Diceros bicornis minor: one gene and its partners. The main gene of each other region encodes a partner of the protein of the gene in region 2 in a complex. Links are inferred from orthologs where the notes say so. Each region holds a gene or a part of one and is shown on either strand. Other genes may lie near its edges.

The links.
Region 1: LIMS1 (region 2) and PARVA share a complex: the UniProt entries of both Homo sapiens proteins name them as parts of the heterotrimeric IPP (ILK-PINCH-PARVIN) complex. The link is inferred for Diceros bicornis minor from reciprocal best matches to the Homo sapiens genes LIMS1 and PARVA.
Region 3: the proteins of LIMS1 (region 2) and RSU1 are in contact, whole or in part, in a crystal structure (PDB 7LT9), measured with the Homo sapiens proteins. The link is inferred for Diceros bicornis minor from reciprocal best matches to the Homo sapiens genes LIMS1 and RSU1. Residues at the interface, in NP_001180417.1 of Homo sapiens: Cys252, Phe253, His254, Cys255, Asn256, Leu267, Asn268, Lys269, Ser279, Thr280, Cys281, Asn282, Thr283, Glu293, Phe294, Asp295, Met296, Lys297, Cys303, Lys306, Phe307, Pro308, Glu310, Leu311, Arg314, Leu315, Lys317, Leu318, Ala319; in NP_036557.1 of Homo sapiens: Asp21, Ser23, Asp24, Gln44, Val46, Ser48, His49, Val67, Asn69, Phe71, Asn72, His90, Asn92, Met95, Glu112, Asp115, Thr117, Tyr118, Arg137, Ala138, Tyr140, Ser142, Asp143, Ile161, Ser163, Arg165, Asp166, Glu184, His186, Gln188.

What each region holds. Positions count from the first base shown.
Region 1 is NC_080746.1:70,670,458-70,678,018, reverse strand, and holds the start of PARVA (alpha-parvin), read right to left. Parts: upstream 3,005-7,561; 5' UTR 2,953-3,004; coding exon 2,817-2,952; intron 1-2,816. UniProt on the Homo sapiens protein: Plays a role in sarcomere organization and in smooth muscle cell contraction. Required for normal development of the embryonic cardiovascular system, and for normal septation of the heart outflow tract.
Region 2 is NC_080779.1:5,228,400-5,236,012, forward strand, and holds the start of LIMS1 (LIM and senescent cell antigen-like-containing domain protein 1), read right to left. Parts: upstream 3,083-7,613; 5' UTR 3,068-3,082; coding exon 2,886-3,067; intron 1-2,885. UniProt on the Homo sapiens protein: Within the IPP (ILK-PINCH-PARVIN) complex, binds to F-actin, promoting F-actin bundling, a process required to generate force for actin cytoskeleton reorganization and subsequent dynamic cell adhesion events such as cell spreading and migration.
Region 3 is NC_080775.1:17,074,426-17,081,352, forward strand, and holds the start of RSU1 (ras suppressor protein 1), read right to left. Parts: upstream 3,102-6,927; 5' UTR 2,981-3,101; intron 2,739-2,980; 5' UTR 2,736-2,738; coding exon 2,627-2,735; intron 1-2,626. UniProt on the Homo sapiens protein: Potentially plays a role in the Ras signal transduction pathway. Capable of suppressing v-Ras transformation in vitro.

The DNA of each region.
Region 1 (7,561 bases), on a different chromosome or scaffold from region 2:
CATTGAACCCTGAGATCTAGCACACGCGCACCAACAGCGGGTTATCTCAGACCAACCCCAACGCCTTCTTTGACTGGGCTCGCAGAACCACCACGTGCAACAGCGAGCAGCTGGAGCTGGGTGACGGTGGGCCCCATTTACATTCCCTGGATTAGCTAATAGACTGAATGACAGAATCAGGACTTAACAGTTAAGTATAATACAGATGATAATAAGATCTTGTACTTGGTTTCAAAAACCCAATTGAGTAAACCTCAGATAGGGAAGGAAATGGTTTAGGAACAACAAACATAAAAATGTCTTTGAGTAAGCAGATAGCAAGTGCAATGAGAGATAACAGCGTGAAGTAGCTGGCAGAAGAATGAAGAAAAGCAGGCTTAGGGGCCGGCCCGGTGGCGCAAGCGGTTGGGTGCGCGCGCTCCGCTGCGGCGGCCCGGGGTTCGCTGGTTCGGATCCCGGGCGCGCACCGACGCACTGCTTGGTAAGCCATGCTGTGGCGGCGTCCCATATAAAGTGGAGGAAGATGGGCACAGATGTTAGCCCAGGGCCGTCTTCCTCAGCAAAAAAAAAGAGGAGGTTTGGCGGATGTTAGCTCAGGGCTGATCTCCTCACAAAAAAAAAAAAAAAAAAAAAAAAAAAAAGAAAAGCAGGCTTAGCTGCATGAAGAGAACATGGTGTCTGTGCTAGAGCAAAGGAGGTGACAGCTCTGTTCTCACCTGGGCTGGCTGGACTGGACTAGTAAGCATTATGTTGACCTCTGGGCAGCTCACTTTGAGAGGGTCTGCTAGTTATTCTCCAGCCCCCCTCCCCCACTATGATCTATTCTCTGCACTGCTCTGTGCCCTAAGCGAGCTGACCCCCACATATTGCATCACCCATATTCCCTAGTCCTTGTGACTTCCCGCTGGGTCCAGCCAATGGGAAACACCAACAAGAGATTCCAGGGCAAGAAGAGAGAGAACACGCAGAGTATCTCTTGTGCCCTGTCTCCCTGCTCCACCTCCACATCTCCCACAGTGGCTGTGTCCCTCTGCAGCTACAGTTCCTGCCAGGCAGCCCACCCTCCACAGCTCCAGCTCTCAATGGGTTCTGGTTTGCTCCCCTTGTCCCCTCAGGCCTAGGGGTGGTAAGAGCTTCCCACTGTCTGCTGCTGGCCCCTAGGTTCCTCATCACCCCTCTGGGTTCCCTTAACCCTGCCCACACCTCTCTACATAGTCCCTTCACTACTCTATTTTCAAAATCCCAACTAAGTTGACCTTCTGTTTCCTGCAGGGGTCCTGACCAAAACTGAAGAGTTAGGAGGCCAGCGGGCCATAAAATCATGTCTATGAGGACCAGCTATAGGAACAGAGGATGTTTGGACTGGTGAAGGGAAAACTAGGACACAGGCTATCCACTGGAAAAGAGTGAAGGCCACCCTCAGACTCATCCTCCCAGCTCCATGAATAGAATAACAGTAGATACAGAGAGATCAACTTTTTACTTTTACAATAAAGCAAACTTTTCTAAAGAGTTGCAAAGGTGGGGTGAGCTCTCCTGGGAGGTCATGAGCTTCAGAAATTCTGAGTTGCCCAGTCTGAAGCTAGAGAGCCCATATCAGGAATACTGTAGGAAAAAGTTAGAAGGGTAGTCTAGAAAAGGACTTTCCAAGCCAGGGTTTCATGATTTGCTACCAACTGTACACTACTCAGACAACGGTTTACCAAAATAACCACACTGGGGGGAAACATTTTTGGGGATCTGTTTTGCTGCTTTTCACATCAATATAGACAACAGAAGTCTAGTTCTTTGTGTCAAGTTCGATAATTCTCAACACTGAAGTTCTTTTTTATGCTTTAGGATAACTCAGAACATAAAACTTATTTTCCATCCCAGCATCATCGCCTTCAGAAGAGTTATTCCCAAACCACTGAGCAATCTATGAAAAAAATTTAACCAAACAACTTCTACCTACACATCCATCACTAGTGCTTCTTCAGAACTGTGACCTCATTTTTCAAACCAAAAACCAGGATGTGAAATCTGCCCATGGAACAAAATACTTTACATGCAAACTGTCCTGGAAAAAAATAAGATCGCCTCAATTCACCCTGGTGGGAAAAAGGAAATGGTTTTTGCAGGAGCCATCAACTCCTGAGTTCACAGAAGGGTCGCAGCGCAGGATGCTAAGTGTGTGTGTCTAATCCGGGTTTTCTCCTCTGGTGCAACTTGATCATTTATTACATGGCCGGATCATTTATTACATTATCCCTCATTCATTCAACAAACATTTGATGTTGATCTACTCATTAATAGAACCCTGCTGGGCCCTGGGAATGGACAAAAGATCCAAAGAGGCCAACGCTGCATCTGGACCTAAGCAGGTCTAGGAAACGACCTGATGGCAAAGACCAATGAAAGCGAAGAGTCAGAGTGACGGCGCCCAGAAAAGTTTCTGCAGAAACTTGGGAAATGCCAGCCTTCGGGGCGGAGAGGGCGGGGACTTGGGGCCTACGGGAGGACGCCGCCTCGGGCTCCTCGGCCCTCGGACCACGCAGAGCCGCCAGGCCCTGCGCGGACGTCGCCTGGTCCCAGTGCCGGGCTGTCCCACCCGAGCGCCCGGGCCCTGCAGCGCAGCGCCGGGCCACCACCGGCAGGGCGGCGGCGGGGCCCGCAGGGCGCGCACAGACTGGCACCAGGTTCCCGGGAAGCGCGCGCCCGCGCCGCCGCGCCCCGCTCCCACCGCCCCGGGCACCCGCGGCGCGCGCCCGCGCGGCCCTGCGAGCCCAGGCCCCCTGCCCCGGCCCCTGCCGCTCGTCAGGCCGGGCCGCACTCACCCTCCTTGGCTTTCTTCCTCCGGGCCAGAGTCCCTCCGAGTTTCCCCAAGAAGGAGTCATCTTTCTTCCGGGATGGGGGCGACTTGGGAGTGGGGGACTTGGGGACAGAGGGCGACTTCTGCGGGGAGGTGGCCATGGCGGGGGAGCGGGCAGCCGCGGGCCGGTCGGGACGCGGAGCTGGCGCTGGGCGGACGCGGCGGGCGCGGCGGGACTGAGGCTGCGGCTTTCCAAACGGAAGCGGAATTATTCCAAGCATTTGAGGCAGCTCACGCTCGCCTTTCCCTTCCCTCTCTCCCTCCCTCGCGCCGCCCTCCGCCCTGGAAGGAGCTGCGCGCTCCGGGCCCTCGCCCCGGCCGGTCCTGCGCCCCGCGCCCCTTGGCTGCCCGCAGCAGGGAGGGTGCCCCAAATCTGCCCCTTGCAGGACGTGCGGCATGATCAGTCTGTGTGCCCCTCCAGCCCGGGAGCCTCCTTTCCCCCGGCTCTGCACCCAGCACAGATCCAGGCACAAATGGGGGTTCAGTGATTGCTGAACCGAACCCACCTGCTCCTCTGTCTCCCAGAGCCTTCGCCCCGCCTGCTTGGTGAGGAGCTCGCGCTTCCCTTGCGTTTATTTCTACCTGGACATCTATTAGGCCCATGTCTTGTGCCCACAAAGGAGAGTGAGCCAGCTCTAGGAAGAAATAGAGTGACCCAAATTTGTTCAGGTCCTGCCAACTGGGCACATCCAACTGTTCCTGCACTTGTCCTCGCTGTCAACCTCCTCTTCACACCCATCCAAGACTGAGAAGTTTGAAGTCCGTGAGCGCAGGGCCGAGGCTTCTTACAAAACACCCCTGTGTCTAGCAACTCAATGGCTTGTACAAAGGAGGATCCCAAATATTGGTGGAAACATGATTTGGAAGGTACGCCGTGGGCTCCTGTGAGACACCCCCATCCCAAACTTATCCCGCCTAAATAAAAGCAACAGAGTGACAACCAGACTCATTTGGAGTAATAGGGAGAGGCACAAACCGCAATGTGTCAAGCACTCTTGCTGGAATTGATTAAAAGACACATTTTATTGTTCTTGCCCTCTTGAAGTTCTCACTTGGGATCTCCTGGCCGTCTCTCTTTCACACACACACTCACACAGCCCCTTGGCAACTGTGTTTCCTCCAAGTAGGTACAGCTGATTGACCCTGAGTGATCACCCGACCCAAAGGATGCTGATCCTTGACTGGAGAGCTGCCCATCAGATAGTGTCCATCAAGAATCCGGACTAAGCTCCAGACACTGTTGTCCAAAGTTGAGCACTTAGTGATGATCATGCAGACTGAAGACTGGGGTGTCAATGTCTAGCCACATGCATGCTGATGAGTAGAGAAACAAAAGAATGGAGCAAAGAGTGTGGTCTGAGTAATGAACAACCATGGGGAGTAGCTGCCTGGGCCTTGACTCCTTCCAGGTGCTCACTTATAGTGTGTGGGGGGGGGGGGTGGCGGGGCGCGCGGCCTTCCTAGGACGTGTTCCTAAAGCCTTTTAACAACCCATCCGCCTTTACTTGAGCTAAGCAGCAAAATGACAAGCAACAATTCCTGAGCACAACAAAAATTTAACAAACGAGAGGGACAATAGAGTCTCAGTACGTGTTCATTTTATCCTTGCTTAAGAGTCATAATTTTACCTCTTTTGAAAATTATACTTTAGCTGATGCCTCTGACCTAATAGAAAGCAGAGAAGTCATGATGACGGCTAGAATTTTCACCCAGGAGCAGGGGAAGATTATGACACGTGACCCCCACCCCCATCCCCAACTATCACCTTGATAAATCTTAAAGAGATGCTGAGAAGCCAAAATAGAATTGTGGGTTGATGACCTCATTAATCATTCTTGTTCAGATATTGGATACATAAGGACATCTCCAAAATCTGATCTTTAGCCCTGGGAACTCTTGCCAGGGACTCATGAGCCGCACAGCTCAGTAGCCATGTGATCTTGGGCGAGTTTACTCCCTTTTCTGAATCTCCATTTCTTCATCTACAAAATGAAGTGGTGGAGCAGAATGGTGGTTCTCAAACCTGATTATTCGTCACAATCCCCTAGGGAGTTTGTTACAAACATTCACAGGCCCCACCTCTAGAAACGCTGATTCGGTACCTCCGAGGTGAAACCAAGGGGGTGGGTATTTTTTTTGTGTGTGTGAGGAAGATCAGCCCTGAGCTAACATCTGCCAATCCTCCTCTTTTTTTTTTTTTTTTTGGCTGAGGAAGGCTGGCCCTGGGCTAACATCCGTGTCCATCTTCCTCCACTTTATATGGGACGTCGCCTCAGCATGGCTTGACAAGCGGTGCGTCGGTGCGCACCTGGGATCCTAACTGGGGAACCCTGGGCCGCTGCAGCAGAGTCCGTGGACTTAACCGCTTGTGCCACCTGGCCGGCCCCAAAGGATGGGTATTTTTTAACAGGGGCTACATCAGGTATAGGATTTCAAAGTAGCTGATCCACGCACTGATGTTTGGGCACCTAGAGCCACTTTCAGCTCTGACAGTCTATGATTCTCTATTCGTCACCAATTGCTGATATCTGTATGCAGGGTGTAGGTCCTAAATATGGCATGGTCAAAATTACACATAGAGATCTCTTAAATTGCTTGTGCACGCTTTTGTATATACAACCCTCTTTGGTAATTTTTATGCATACTAAAGTTGGAAAGCAACTGAGCAAGACTAACAGGAGGAACAAACAAAGGAAAGTCTAGATTGTTGAATGCTGGCTCCCAGAAAATACCAGCAAACCAAGCTGTAGAGAAGGTAAAACTGAGTTTATTGTATACCAGGGTAAGAAAAGCCCTGCCTTGGCAGTCTTAATAGCATTTTGGACTGGGGGAGGGCAAAGTGGGGATATTTATAAGGTTTTGGAATCTAGTTTAAGGCAGGTCTTTCAATGGGGTGATGCTTGATTTATTTTGGCTAAGGCTTGTGATATAGTAGTATAGGATCTGTGAACACAAGACAAGACAAGAGTAAATCGTCTTTTTAATGCTATCTATTGAAAAGTTTAAGGGTTTTATGTTTATTTCAATGAGATTTTGGGGGAAGTCTTTGAATAAAAAGAAGTTATTTGTAACTTTAATCTTTCTGTGCAAGAGTTTTTTGGAATAGAGTTATGTTGATAAAGATAGGGGAATGATAAAGTCCCCCTAATGTAGACAGTAACCTGTATGGGTGTGAGTGGTTTCCAGGGTCTCAATATTATGCAGATGTCTTGTTATTCAAACCTTTCTGCCTCTAAGATAATTATCAATCTCTCTTGAAAGGCCAAGGGGGGATGGATGGTGAATTATAAAGTGTAGCCTGAAAACCAGTATTGATCTGCAAACTGTTATCGGTCCTCAATGATATAAATATAGAAACTGAGAGTGTTTAGAAACTTTTATAACAATTTAACAGTGCACTTTTTATATTTGTTTAATTTGATAATAAAAATTGGAAGCTTATATTTTGAATGTCTTTTTATTTTTCTAATAATTCTTTTTTTATTGTATTTTACAAAATACTGATCTATGATGGATTGGTCGTTCACCATAGATTGCTTAAAAAGCACTGTTCTAAATTGCTCCGGTTTGCTTACAGAGTTTATATACTCTCTTTTGATGTTATGCTTTTATAGTCGTTATGGATGTGAATTGACCTGGTGTTTGTTCAGAAGAGTAAATGAGATAATATATAGGAAAGCACCTTGCACAGGGCCTGGCACTGAAGTAGACTGAATCTAAATCTAGCTTAATCAGCGACACAAACATGCTGTTCTTTGATAAGCTGCAGAGAAGATGGATGCACCAGCTCCCTCCAATCTAAATTGGTATTTACAATTATGGCCCCACTGATGAGCAGCCTTCTCATGCTTGGTGGTTGGTGTTATGCTACCCAAGGGTTAGATGATAAAGACAGCTCATAAGTTAAATGTGTGTAGCTGTGAACCTCTGCTGAATCTCTAGGCCAGTCTGTCCCTGAAATCTAGACCTTGGAGTGAATTACCCAGTTCCAGTTCTGGCTCAGTCCTGGCTAGGTGACCTTCGACAAATCTCTGTCCCTTGTGTACTTTTATTTCTATTATCAGTAAAGCAAAGCCAAGGCAGTAGTATCTACTACAGCTGAACATCACACATACATTATGATCAACAATTTCAATTCTAGGTTACACTCAACAAAAATGACTAAATTTGTGCACCTAGATACATGTTCTAGAAAGTTCATGGTAACATAATTCAAATGCCTATTAACAGTTGAATCAGTAAATAAATTTTGATAATTACACAATGGAATATTATACAGCAATGAGAATGAACAATTTGCAACTACAAGCAGCAATAGGAATGTATCTCAATATAATGTTAAGTGAAAAAAATCAGACAAAAGAGGATATACTCTATCATTCTAATCATATAAAGTACAAAAACAGGCAAAACTAATCTGTGATATTAGAAGTCAGGATAATGATTAGCCATGGGAGAGATAGTGACTAGAAGGGGGCAGGGGCAGTGGCGGGAGGCAAGAGGGAGGCTACAGGAGCTAGTAATGTTCTGTTTCTTGACCTGCGTGACTAGTTACATGGGTGTATTCACTTTGAAAATTCATGGAGAATGAACTTAATAATTCGAGCAATTTTCTGTATGTATAATGTACTTCCAACAAAATTTATAGATTTATCACAAAAAAGATTAAATTTTTAAATTGAAGCCATGGGACTACATGCTCTGTAGGGT
Region 2 (7,613 bases):
AAGGTAGACAGCCTCACTATTTGGCAAACCTAGCCTAAGTTTCATATTAAAACGAATTTTGTATTTTGTCATCTCAAAATCACTGTGAGCTAGGGAGAAAAGTCCGTAAAATTCTCTTCTTCACCGGGCTTTGCCGTAAGCCAGATGGACTGTGGCACTTTTAGCAAAGCTCCTGTGAAGATTTGTGATTCTCCCTTTCTTTTGACCAAAATTCACAGATGTCCATTGATGAAGAATGGTAAGCCCACATCTGCCCCAATAGTTCTTAGTACTGTTTGAGGATAAAATAAGAAAAAGTATGTAAAACCACTTTGGAAACCAGAAGATGCTACTCAAATATAAAGCATTATTATTAATTTTAAATCCTCTCAAAAGATTCACCAAATTCTCAATGATTTTAATAGAACTCTAAAAAAGCTGGAAAAGAAGAACATTCTGGAATGTCCTGATTCATGATTACCTAGATCAGTAGTTCTCAAAGTGTAGGGGCCACCATGACCCTTTCAGGAGTTTGGAAGGTCCTCCCCTTTTCCAATTACATCTCTGTGGGAGGCCATATTTTCTTTATATACTTTATCTAAAAAAATGTTATAATAGGATGACCACAGCAGCAGATATGCGAAACTGTCTTTTATTAAGACAGACATTAACAAGATTTGCAAAAATGTAATACAATGCCACTTTTCCCACCAAGCTTTTGTCGTTTTGGAAGTTATTTTTCATAAAAAATTAATATTTATTCAAATATTATTAATATATGAGTTTATTGTTATTTTAAATTAATAAATATTTTAAAATTTTCTCAGCTTTATTTTCTAATACAGAAAATACCGATGAACAAAACAAAAGCTCTCTGGGGACCTCAATAATTTTTAAGAGCATCAAGGGGTCCCAAGATCAGCACATTTATCACTGACCTGTTCATACTCACTATATTGTAGACTGTTTATATTCAAACTCAAACAGTCGAAGAGTCAGAAAATAGGTAGACACATTACAAAATCAAGCATATAAGTTTTTCCCACAAACAGAAAAAATAAACTAGTTTTAGAGATAACATAATATGTATTTTTGAAGAGGTATTCCTTTTAATAACAAGCAGGAAAAGAAAGGAAACAGAACATTAAAGGAAACTTTCAGGAAAAAAACACCAATAATCTCACCAACATAGTGAACTGTGTACATTTCCCTTTCCTCTCTTGTCTTTGACCCTCTGGCACTATGTGTGTTTTTTTTTTAATAGACTATGTTTTAGAGCAGCTGCAGGTTCACAGCAAAACTGAGCGGAAGGTACAGAGACTTCCCACATCCCCCTCCCCGCAAATGCAGGGCCCCGCATTACAACATCGCCACCAAAGAGGTACATTTGTTACAACTGATGAACCTATATTGACCTATGTGTTTTTTTACAGTTGATTTTTGTATTTAATACTATATATGATAGAAGTTACTTTTTTAAAGTCATGAATGATAGTTATAGCTGTCACTTGTTATAATTAATTGGCTAATTTTTCAGAAAAGAATTTTCACTAAAAAGTGTTGCTGACAGGAATACAGACGTCGGGGAGTATAGATAGGTAAGAGCCTTTAGTAGCGACTCTTCATATCTGGCCAGTCATAACTGATTTAGCTGATCCACTTCCACAAATCACCTGAACACAGAAAACCTGAGCTTTCGTTACTCAAGTGCCTCATTTATCAAAGTATGTGAAACAAATTTTCTGGCATTAAAATGCAAAAATGTGTAAATCCAAAAAGCATCTTGAGAGATCACCAAGTATTTTGGCTATAATATAATTATAACTGCCCAATTACTCTTTTTTTTTTAAATAATTTTATTTATTTATTTATTTTTCCCCCAAAGTCCCAGCAGATAGTTGTATGTCATAGTTGCACATCCTTCCAGTCGCTGTATGTGGGACGCGGCCCCAGCATGGCCGGAGAAGCGGTGCGTCGCACCCGGGATCCGAACCCGGGCCGCCCAGCAGCGGAGCACGCACACTTAACCGCTAAGCCACAGGGCCGGCCCCAATTACTCTTAAACAGAGCTCTGTATGAGTCGTGAAAAGAAATGACATCTGTTGCAATACGACACAGAATGGATTAATGGAAATAGACAATCAGGTCAAGTTAAATTCTCTTTAACTCTTAATTGACAAATTAGGGATTTGCAATAATTCCAAGCATATAGCTTTGAATAAGGTCAACAATCTTACAAGAGTTGGTCTAAATACTACTTTGTAATATTTAAAAAAAAAACAACTGCTAAAACCCATCTCATAATATGAATTAGACTAACTTTTTAGAGATAACGCCATGTTTAATTTACATGTACATATTTGCTAGTTACACAACATCCTTATTTATTCAGTCAATCTCTTAGAGACTGTATTAAGAAAAACCCAGTTAGCCTACTTCAAATTGCTGGTTGTTAAACATAACAAAAATGTGCATCTTTATCAATAGTCTGTAATTCAGTTTTTCACTGTTTCCCTCAACATGCATCTTATCTACGGGAAGTTTTAGAGTATAAAATTTTTCTATTACAAATCCTGACAACAAAAACTCTAAACCTCCCTCTTCGACTATCTAATGAAAATGTGCTATTATCAGGAACCTACTAAAGACCAGGACATGACTACTCTTATTGAAAGGCGGCATTTTCCTTCACATGTGCATTTCAGGCCCTGGAAGTTTACAGGAGGCGCAACCTGCCTGCCTGCCGGAACAGGCTGCCCGGGAGCAGCCCCGAGAGGCCCCGGCCCCTCCTCTCCCTGGGAAGCCCCTGCTGAAAGTCGCGGAAATAAAACTGCAAATGGCTAGTGAACTGAAAGCCCTAGAAGCTAGATGTGGAAGGGGGGAACTCCTGGAGAGCGGACACTTACAATTTCGCATAAAAGTCACAGAACTCCTTGTAGACTTGCACGTCACTGTGTCTGCGCTGCAGTTTCGACACAGCCCTCTCGTCTTCACTGCCATTCGCCTGGTGGACACTGGTAAGGGCTGTCTGGGGTAGTTCTTCATTCTCTGGGATGACATAGGGGCGCGCCCTGCCCGGGAACGCCATCCGTGGGTGCTTGAGAGCTCGGAGCCCAGGGCAGAGAGCAGCGGGAGCTGGACAGGAGTTGGAGAAACAATATGCAGGAGCCCTGCTCCCTGCCAGGGTCACTCCCACTGTTCCCACACACGTCAGCCCCAGGCCTGCCAGGGTCGCTCCTGACCCTTCACGTTAAGAGCTCCAGCAGCAAAGCAGTCACTGGGCATAACAGTCTTGATTTACTGAGGCATTTTGGAAGCTCTAGAAAACATTCCACGAAGTTGTGACAGTCTTCGCTGGAGCGGCCTTCCCAGTGGACTGTGTCTGTACACATTACTACAGAAACAGAGGGCTGCTTGGTAGGCTCCCAGAGAAAGAAACATCCAAGTCTCTGGGTATCTGTCCCACTAACACTGTGCTTCTCCACTTTGGTGGGCACAGGAATCTCTCAGAGAGCTTGTAAAACACTCCCAGCAATTCTGTGTTTCTAACAAGCTCTCTGGTGAGAGCAATGTTGCCGACACACTCTGAGGGGCATCATAATGCCCAGGGCATGCTTGCCAGCTAGGCCCTATGGCTGCCTTCCCCCAGGAGTCTGAGAGTCCCCGAAATTAAGAGTTACATTTGACTTTTATTTATCCTAGCACTTGGCACATAGTAAGAGTTCCATACTGTGTTCAACGAACGGACACACAGGGAAATACGGAAGAACTGGAGTTCCCAGCTAATTGTGTGACTTAGGTGAGCCAACGTGTCTTGGTCTTTATCATGACTAAGGATGCCACTGGCATTCTGCTATACCCACTCGACACTACTGTCGTCTTACAACAGTATTAGCCATGAAGACGATGATGATGCAGCACCACGGGCAATACAAGGGTCAGTGTCTTCTCAAGTCTCAGTCCTCTCAGTACCAACGTGCCATCCCACCAACACCAAGGTACCAAGGGGCATTGAGAAAGGAAATCTAGGGAATAGGTAAAAGGTACATTGACCAACAGAGCAGATCACACTCGAGATACGAGAGCCATGAAATCAACAGCAAATAGATCAAATGCGCTGAGGCTCTTGAGTCATAACTATGAATAATGAATGACGCCTAAGTGTTAGTAAGTGCTTACTATCATATCCCAATAAAGTAGGTATTATTTACAGATGAGGAATAACTAGTAAGTATGTGGTGAAGTCAAGATTTAAACTTACGTAGTCTGATTCTAGATCCTAGATCCTATGTTGTTTACTATGCGAGCAAATGTTAAAGGTAATTGCTGGAGAGCAAAATAGGTTAACTAGAAAAGATTAGGTAGCGGGTACAAAAATGGGACTAGAAGCAGAAAATGAGATCCAGTCTTCTCATTCTGAATCTTACAGATTTCAGAACACAGGTCAGAAACTCAAAGGCTGTGGATCCTGCCCAGGCCTGAGGCCTGTGGCTGATGGAACAACAGACTCACCATTTTTAAATATTTAAATGTTTAATTTTTTTTTTTTTTTTTTTTTTACAATGACCATGGGGACCAGAGAGAGGAGGCAGCAGGCATGGAAACATCCACACAGACACGCACACACACACCCTCTGACTCTGAGACCAGAAACACAATGCACTGAACTAGGTTAGGTAGCATGGTCGGAAGTGGGGAGCCATACGAGTCTCCTGCCCAGAATACTTCTTCTCTCTTAACCTAATTATGTTAAGAGAGATATTCACATTTCTACTTTACCTAAGACACTCCTCTTTCCAAAACTCAAAATCAATCTTTAATTATCTTTAAACTTCTCTATCTCAGTATACTGGGACCTAGTCCATGAACATAGGGACTTGCCCTCCCCAGGGAGAAGGTTCGAGACAATGACTTGATGGTCAAATAGAAGGAAGGAGGCCCACCACCACTATGCTCTCAACAATAATCCTTCCAACTTGCCAGTCTACTATTAGCTTTCAAGAATTAATTTATCCTGCATTAAAAAATAAACAAGACTAATATTACCTTCTCAGAGAGCTTAAGTGACTTGCACAAAGTCACACAGCTAGTAAGTGCAACGTCCCAAACTCAAATTCAGACGTCTGCCTCCAATGTTTTTGTTTGTTTTTTACCTCTTTATAAAATCCATCCTGGGGCCAGCCCCGTGGCTTAGCGGTTAAGTGCGGTCACTCCGCTACTGGCAGCCCGGGTTCGGATCCTGGGCGCGCACCGACGCACTGCTTCTCCGGCCATGCTGAGGCCGCGTCCCACATACAGCAACTAGAAGGATGTGCAACTATGACATACAGCTATCTGCTGGGGCTTTGGGGAAAAAAACAAAAAAAAAAAGGAGGAGGAGGATTGGCAATAGATGTTAGCTCAGGGCCAGTCTTCCTCAGCAAAAAGAGGAGAATTGGCATGGATGTTAGCTCAGGGCTGATCTTTCTCACACACACAAAAAATAAAATAAACAAAATAAAATAACATCCATCCTGTACTGGTGCTTCCAGTAACTGATATATTTGTCCATGCCTAAAGAAAAAAGCTGTCAGGCTCTATTTGTTTATTTTCCTTACAATATTCTTTACAGTTCTTAATCCATACTAGGTCTAGTGATTGTGAATCATGTTCATTCTCCTGCCAAAAACATCATCAGATCCAAAATATTCTGCGACACTGAGGTAATGCTACTTGGAGACACCAACCTACAGGGCAGAACACAGAAGTAGGTACGGGGAGACTTCCCTTTCCTTTCAGTTCAAACAGTATCCAGGAGAGCAGGACCCAAGCTCTCTACCTTCCTTTAGCCTCACTTAACATGCCAAAAATGTCACCTCCAGGAGGGGAGGAACTTTGTCTTGTCCATGCCGGTACCCAAGCATCATGAAGAGTCCACCACTCTGCAGATGCACAGTAATTATCTGTTGGTGAATGAACTGGGGCTAATAATCCATCTACTTGATCTAGCAAACCATGAAAACAATGAAAGCAAATTAGTTGCCAGTCTGCATTTTGAGTCAGCAGGAGGTCTAAAAATCTAACTAATTATCTTCTTTACTTCATAACAACTGGTTTTATTTCTACCAGATAGAAAAGTAGAACTAAGAAAAAGCTAATGGCTCATGAGCATATGACACAATGAAGTCTCTTATCTGCCAAGGAATTAAAAATAACATGAAAGGTCTGCAATAAAATTTTTAACTTTTTATTCTGAAATAATTATTGAGTTGCAGGAAGTTACAAAAATTGTACAGAGAAGTCCTTTGTACCCTTCACGAAGTCTTCCCACTGGTTGTATCTTATGTAACTGTGGTACGACACCAACACCAGGAATCTGACACTGGCACAATGTGTGTGTACAGGTCTATGTCATTTCATCACATGGGTAGATTCATGCAGCCACCACGCCATCAAGATGCAGAACTATTCCATCACCACAAAGATCCCTCTCATGTTATCTCCGATAGTTGCACCCACCTTTTCCCCACCCTGCCGTCTCTAACCCCTGGCAACCACTAATCTGTTTTTCATCCATATAATTATAATTTAGAGAGAGTTACTGCTATGGACCAAATGTCTGTGTCCCTCCAGAATTCACACGTTGAAGCCTAATCCCCAATGTGATGGTATTTGGAGGTAGGGCCTTTGGGAAGGTGATTAGCGTTAGATTAGGTCATGAGAGTGGGGCATTAATCCCTCTTGCCCTTAGAACAAGAGGAAGAGATACAGAGGACTCTCTATTGGCCATGTGAGGATACAACCAGAGGCGGCTGTCTACAAGCCAGGAAGTGGGTCCTCATTAGACACCTTGATCTCCTGGTGCCCTGATCTTGGATTTCCCAGCCTCTAGAACCCTGAGAAATAAATATTTGTTGTTTAAGCCATGTAGCCTGTGGTATATTTGTTATGGCAGCCCAAACTGACTAAGACAGTTACATAAATGGAATCACACAGTAGTGACCTTTTAAGGTTCACTTCCTTCAGTCAGCATAGTGCCCTTGAAATCCATCCAAGTTCTATATATATCAATAGCTTCCTCCTTTTTATTGCTGAGTAGTATTCCATGGAACGGACATAACTCAGTTTGTTTAACCATTCACCCACTAAAGGACAGTTAACTAGTTTCCAGTTTGGGGCTGTTGTGAATTAAGCTATGCACAGGTTTCTGTGTGAACATAGGTTTTCATTTCTCTGGGATAAACGTCCAAGAGTGAAATTGCTGAGTTGTATGATAAGTGTATGTTTAGTTTTTTTAAGAAACTGTCAAACTTTTTTCTAGAGTGGTTGTATCATTTTACATTCCCACCAGCAGCAATATATGAGAGATTCAACTTTTCCACATCCTTGCAAGCATTTGGTATCACGATTATTTTTTATTTCAGCTATTCTAACAGGTGTACATTATTATGTACATGTATTAAGTTTATATACATACAGATTAGTACAAAAAGAAGTCAGAACTATCCACCAGATAATCATATTGACAAGAAGGAAAAAAGAGTAATACATGTATTTGGGAAAAAATTCAAACACTACATTGAGTTATAAAATGAAAAGTCAAGTCTTTTAATAGTTTGCGTATGTGTGTGTACGTGTGTGTTCTACTAATCTTA
Region 3 (6,927 bases), on a different chromosome or scaffold from region 2:
TTGGCACGCTCCACTTTGGCGGCCTAGGCTTGGTTCCTGGGTGCGGAGCTACACCACTCGTTGGCAGCCATGCTGAGGCAGCGACCCACATACAAAGTAGAGGAAGACTAACACATATGTTGGCTCAGGGTGAATCTTCCTCAGCAAAAAAAAAAAAAAAGTAAGCATTATGTACAGTACTGATAAATGAGCCCCAATTGAGGAATGGGCTTCTGAAGGCACCCTGGAACCCTCCAGGCTCCAAGAGTCCAGAAGTCAGGGAGTTATGGGAGAAAGTAGCCACTCCTTGGGTCTACACACACTACAGAGGAGGCAGAATCTCCAAATTCACTTCCACGAACTCCCCAGAAGCACTGTGGTTCTTCCTTAAGCCGCTTCTTTCAGAAAACTTAAGAAGGATCTTGCTTTTCAGCAAATAATATTACACCGGAAACATCTTTTTCAGGAAGCAAGTGGCTATCTTTGCTTCTTCAATAAAAGCCAAGGCTTCAAAGAGATAACGCAAGTGAACCGAAATAGCTACACCACACTCCCACTACTTCTAAATATTACATAAAGAGTCCTCTTCAAAGCTGAGGAGAATAAAGTTCCTCTGCTGAAAGCAACCTCTTTCTTCAACCCCATGAGAAAAACAGAGTTGAGAGCAGAAAGCCATGAGGCCAAGAACACAGCTGAGCCAGGCCTCCTGCCTGCCGCTCGCCATCCTCTTCCTCTACTGCAGAATGCTCTTGATGACCATCACGACCACAGCAGAGCCAGCCAGGCCAGCGCAGGGACACATCCAGATTCGTAACTGCCAATTCAGAACCAGACATCCGCTCTGTTGCTGCCACCGAGAAGCAACCACCACGGAGACAGGACAACACATCCCAAGGGGCTGAGATGCTAATTAGTACAAAAGCTAAGTTTAACGGCAGGTGTCTTCCTAAGGGTTACCAAACACAAATCGTCTAAGCTTTTCAGCCCTTTTCCTTCTGCTGAGATGTATCGACAGCACCAACCCCAATCTCTGTCCCAGGCACAAACCAGGGATTCACAGTAAATTTGACTCCGTGCTCTCCATGCCTCACAAGCAATCCATCATCTTTCAGGGTCTCCTGGACACCTCCTCTTCTCCTCCAGTGTCACATCCCAGTCTGGATCTCATAAACTTGCAGGCCTAATCCATCCTTCTTTCCTTCATTCATCACACATTTCTGAGCTCCTACTGTGTTCCAGGCACTATGGTAAAGGCAGCAAACGTGAATATTGCACAGCTTTAGTCCCCCCAGTCTCCCAAAGGGAAAGAGACGTTTAGATTAGGAATGCATTACAATCCTCTGTAACAAGAGTCATGAAGCAAAGCACATCCAACTTCACAGAGGAAGGAGTGACTGTGTCTGCTTGCTACAGACAGAGAAGGCTTCACGTAGGCTGTGACATCTGAGCTGACCCTTCACAGATAAAGTAAAAGCATTTCAGGTGAAGAAAGGCGGAATGCAAAGCAACAATACTTGTAAAGGCACGAAGACCCCAAAGAGTGCACCCTGGTTCAGGAAAGGCAATGGGTTCAGTATGGCTGGGACGCCAAATGCATGGAAGGGACAGGAGCTAAGGTAGAGTGTAGTCAGATTCAGACAGGCCTTGCATGTCACGTCAAGGAACCTGGGGCATGACTGTTGGTACTGAAAACCAGGAGGAGTGTTTAAGGGAGAAGGTCCAAACAGAAGCCACATTCAGCCTGAAGAAGTGTTTTGTTTCACGTCTAAAGTATTTTTCAAATATTGGAATTAGTTGCCAACTTCTAAAAATCAGGAAATTTGATGTGGATTCTTGGCTTCTTAAAAAAAAAATCTGACAACACTGGGCCAACGTCCCCAGGTGGTGACAAGTGTTTGGATCTGAGTAGCAGGTGTAGCAGCTACCCCTTCAGATGGGATACTATTATGGAGTTCGTGACCATCCTCACCTGGCCCCCGCAGGCATTTGAGTTTGCAATCCCTGGTTTAAAGGAGAGTAACACAATAATATGTGTTACAGGAAAATAACACTGAAAGCAATACAGCGACTAAACTACAGGGGCAGTAAAACTGGAGGTGAGAGAGAAAGTTAGGAAGACATCACAATAGCACAAGCAGGAGATAACAAAACAGGAGATTACAAAAGCCTGAACTAAGTTAGGAGAATAAAGATCCAGAAAAAGGTAACGAGTCAAGAAACGTTTAACAGACTCCAGGCACAAGAATACCTATCATGTAACTTTTGTGTGGCGTTTGTTCAAGGGCCAAAGACTATATTAGGCGAAAAGAAGAATGATTCAAAAATGATTTAATTAAAACATAAAGTGGGTATTAAGTAAACTGTGGGGAAAAGCCACCCAAATGCCATAAATCAGCACAGACATCTGAGGAGGTTCAGCAGGAACAGTCTGTGTGGTTCTTATCCCAGCTCTCATGTTCATTTTCCAGTGGGAACAGAACAGATTCTGACTGCAAACTTTCTGAGCTGAGCTCTTGACAAGGGGTGTTTACAAGCAGGGGTGGGATGTAACCCATTACAACCTCTCATACCACGACTTGGCAGTTACTCGGAAAACTTACAAACCCTTCCAGCTCCTCCCAGGGGAAGGTCCTGCCCGAGAACTTACACAAGCCGTTGACGTCCAGCATGTTGGAGATGCCCCGGTCGCTCATGTCCACTTCCGGCTGGTTCTTCTCCCGGCTCTCCTCCACCAACTTTTTCAGAGACTTGGACATGATCTGTACCAAATGACAACAACAAAGCACGTGAGCGACGGCCAGGAGGGTGCAGGGATAGAAAGGAGAGAGCCTGGCTGGCACTTTCTGTTGTTGCCCTGGCCCTGGAAAGTGGGCATCAGCGGGCAGAGTCCGAGCGCAGGGAGGGGGATGGGACAGGGCGGGGCAGGGGAGTGGGGAGGGTCCAGCACCACTCCGGCCGCGCGGAGAGAAGCAACCCCGAGTGCAATGGCACGCACACTCACCGCGGAGGGCAGCACCTAACAGGTTGGGCGCGGGAGCGGCCGGCTTCCGCAGGGCGCACTTCAGCGGCAGGAGATGCACAGTAACTGAGCAAAACGCGCACCCCAGCGAGGAACACGCCCTGGCCCGGCGCTCGGCGCAGGCGCACACCGCGCCGCTCTCCGCTCCACGCCCCGCCCGCCCCCGACCCTTCCCAAATTAGGAGAACAGTTTACTAGACGTGGCTCAGGGGCGAGGCTCCGCCCATTAAAAAGAATGTGTACCCTGCGGCCGACCAATCACGTCCGTTACTCGGCCTTGAGACTCCGCCCCACCCCGAGGTTAGTCCAGCCCCCTGGAATCCCCGGGGCTCGGGATTCCGATTGGACCGGAGTGAGCACGTGCGCACTAGGTTGACGCATGCTCAGTTCCTAGGTCGAAGCGCACAGTGCTGTGGGCGGAAGCGGGGAAGTTGGGGGAGCGACTGCGGAGGGACGTTTGTAGCTGAGGTTAGGTCCTGGGGAAGTTTGGAGTCCATTTCTGTCGGTGTCCTGCTTCTGTGAGTGTGGCTCCACTTACCAGAAGTTGCTACCCTGAATCCTTTCTCCACAGTTGTGCCTCCCGCTGCCTTATGAGCTCCTCTACGACGAAAACTCGGTGGTGGTCTGTGTGTCCCCTGCGCCCAGCTCGCAATCATGGACCTCTGTGTCACAGGAAGGGGAGCATGGTCGGATAAATAAATGACCTCTTTTCCTACACTGCACTCAAAATTATACCATATTTTAGTTTGCTTTCTGTTGAATGATAATGTCCTTATACGATTTTCATTGTTTTTTCACTAGAGTGTCTAACTGCTTTTCTTTTTCTTTTTGTAACCTTCTTTACCCTATGCCTAAGATCTTGCCGCTTTTCATTCCTCTCCATTGCTTGAAATCCAATCAATTCTTCCTGAGGACTTGAGGAACCCACTAACTTACTGCTGTAACTGATTCTTTCTGTCCTTGCAGCTGAGTGGCTATCTGTGATTTCTTTTCACTTGGTTTCTGGGTTGAAACTGGCATTTCCTGTCTACATCTTGCTAGAGTACCTCTCAAGTAGCTTTGTCTAACAGGGTGCGTAGGAGGCACAAATTTTGAGTAGTTACATGTTTTTAAATGTCCTTATTTTGCCAATACCTTTATTCATTTGTCTAGCACAGAATTCTAGGTTCAAGATGAGTTTCTAAAATCCTGAAGGCACAGTTCCACTGACTTCAGCTTCCAATGTTAATGCCTAGAAATGTGTCGGTCTCCTCAAAAGTCTTTGCGGGGAACTGTTGTTTTCTCTTGGGAAACATTTGTAATTTTTCTTTTTATTATTCATCATGTTCTGAAATTTCACCATAATATCTCTGGTTGGTGGTCTTTTTCCACTTAATCTGTTTAGCACTCCTGGGGTCCTTTTCAGCTGAAGATTCATTTCTCTCTTCCTCCCTGGAAATTGTTTCTGCTGTTGCTTTGCAATTTCTTTCCTGCCATTTTCTCTGATTTATCACTCTTTCTGGAAATCTTGTTAGTCAGATGGCAGCCTCCTGGGCTGATTTGCTACAGTTATCTTTTTTCTCATATTTTTTCATTTTTAAAAGTCTTTTTAGCTTAATGTCCTGGAATATTATCTCAACTTTATCTTCCAAATCTTTTATTAAATTTTTGAAAATTATTTTGGCTATTAACAAAAAATACTAAGTCCTCTTTCTTGTTCAATAGCAGCCTGCTTTTGTCTCATGAATGCACTCTCTTCTCAAATATCTCTGAGGATAACAATTTGTAGACCTCTCTCTGTTTACTAAATTATGTTTCCTCAAGTGTCCCTTTTTATATGTGTGTACCTAGATTTTTTTCCCATTCATGCTGCTGTAATTCTTCCTCTGTCTGCTGATTCTGGGTTGTCCTTTCATATTCAAGCATGAAGTCTAAGCTGACTTTTCTAGATAGCTGGTGTGGTTTCTTTCCTCATCTGTTGTTGATCTGTATTTGTTTCCCTCCTGGGTCAGCATTAATTTTCCCTGAGCTGTTGGTTAAATTTCTTGAGAGCTGAGAGCCCAGTTTTACAGCTGCCTGTAATCACAAGGCTGCCTTTGCTGGTGGAGGGAAATTGTGAATTCTGAGCCACTTATACAATTCTGTTACTTCCTAGCTCACCCTTTCACCCTGCACCTGCCAGCCCCGTCAGATAACACCTGGAAAGTAGAGTCCCAATTCTGCTGCGTTTCTCTCTGGAAATTATTTTGGGCTGCAGTTTCTTTCTGTTTCGTTTGTCAGCATGCTTCCATTCACTTCCTGTTTTCCAGAAATTTGCTTTCACTCCCTGATAATTTTCCTCTCAGACTCTTCACTTATACCCGTGCTATTCTGAAGGAAATGTGTCCCTAAATTCCCGATTTTTATAACATGGAAATAGGCCCAGCTTCCTCAGTATGTGACCTAGGCAGTTATACAAAGCTCCGGGCTTAGATGGGCCCCATGCTTGGTTTAATGCCCTGCTGTCACCAGCTTGAAACATTTAATAATTATTTTAACAAGAGGCCCTGCATTTTCCTTTTGCACTGGCCCCTGCAAATTATGTAGCCAATCCTGCAAGAAGTCAATATTTATCAGAGCATAAAACCCTGCCACGGCATCACTGCCAAATGCTCTATGCTGAGATAGAATCTGTGCTTCAATACTTCAAAATTAGAAGGAATGTACTACCACTGCCTCCCCTCCGCCCACAGAGTGAGCCAATCAAAGATAGGGTATGGAAGATGCCTGGTCCACCTGAGGCACGCCAGACTATGACTACTGGTAAATTCACGTAAATTATTTCGTAAATCATTAATTCTAAAAATGCTGTTTTTGAGCCAGCCCTGATGGCCTAGTGGTTAAAGTTTGGCACTCTCACCACTTCAGCAGCCTGGGTTTGGGTTCCTGGTCATGGAACCATACCACTTCATCTGTCAGCTGCCATGCTGTGGCCGTGGCTCACATAGAAGAACTAGAAGGACTTACAACTATGATATACAACCATGCACTGGGGCTTTGGGGAGGGAAAAAAGAAGGAGAGAAAAGAGGAAGATTGGCAACAGATGTTAGGCCAGAGCAAATCTTTCCAAAGATCTGCACCAAAAAAAAAAAAAAAGCCTTTTTTATTCCCTAAACCATATTTATAATAAACGACTTACTAAGTGACATATAAATAAAATTATCAAATTAAAATTTGAAAAGCAAATTCTTCATCAAATATAGAAGAATTATCATATCATTTTTCTTCCAATAACTTCTCCATTAAATTGACAGCCATGGGGTGACGTGTGATCTCAACAAGTAAAAAATTTTCTTTCACTAACATTATTTTTAATGCTGTATAATCTTTAAGTTTTTACTCAACTAACAGCAATTACATTAAAATTTTTTCTAGGTCATATAACAGTGTCAGTCTTTTTTAATAATTTCAATAGATCTGTGAGGATAGTTTGACTGTCATATTTAATAAGTTCACACCTAATCCTTCAGGCCGGGTGGGAGGCACTCTCTGGGGTGGTTGCCAAGGTTAGAATCTCAGCTCTGTCACTCAAGTTTTATATAATTTTTTCATACCTCATTTTTCTCAACTATAAGATGGGGCTGATGGTTCTTAGTATTCTATTTCAGTGAGTAATACATAAGAATGATGCCTGGTGTAGAGCAAATGTTATATAGATATTAGCTCTCATTTTTCTTAATAAAATTAATGATGTTAGTATTCCTTTGGTGAGTGTGTGGCAGATTTTTAACAAATTCCTCCCATTAAATGGAGTTGAAATTTAATAGGAAATTATTTCAAGTAGAACCCATATCCTGGGCATCTCCTAGCCCCAAACCGTCATTGGCCCCCTCCATTCCCTGGGGCATTCTTCACAAGAATGCCTGAAGTGCCAGGAGATTCCACTGGGTCCAGAAAAAGCCTGTGGCCA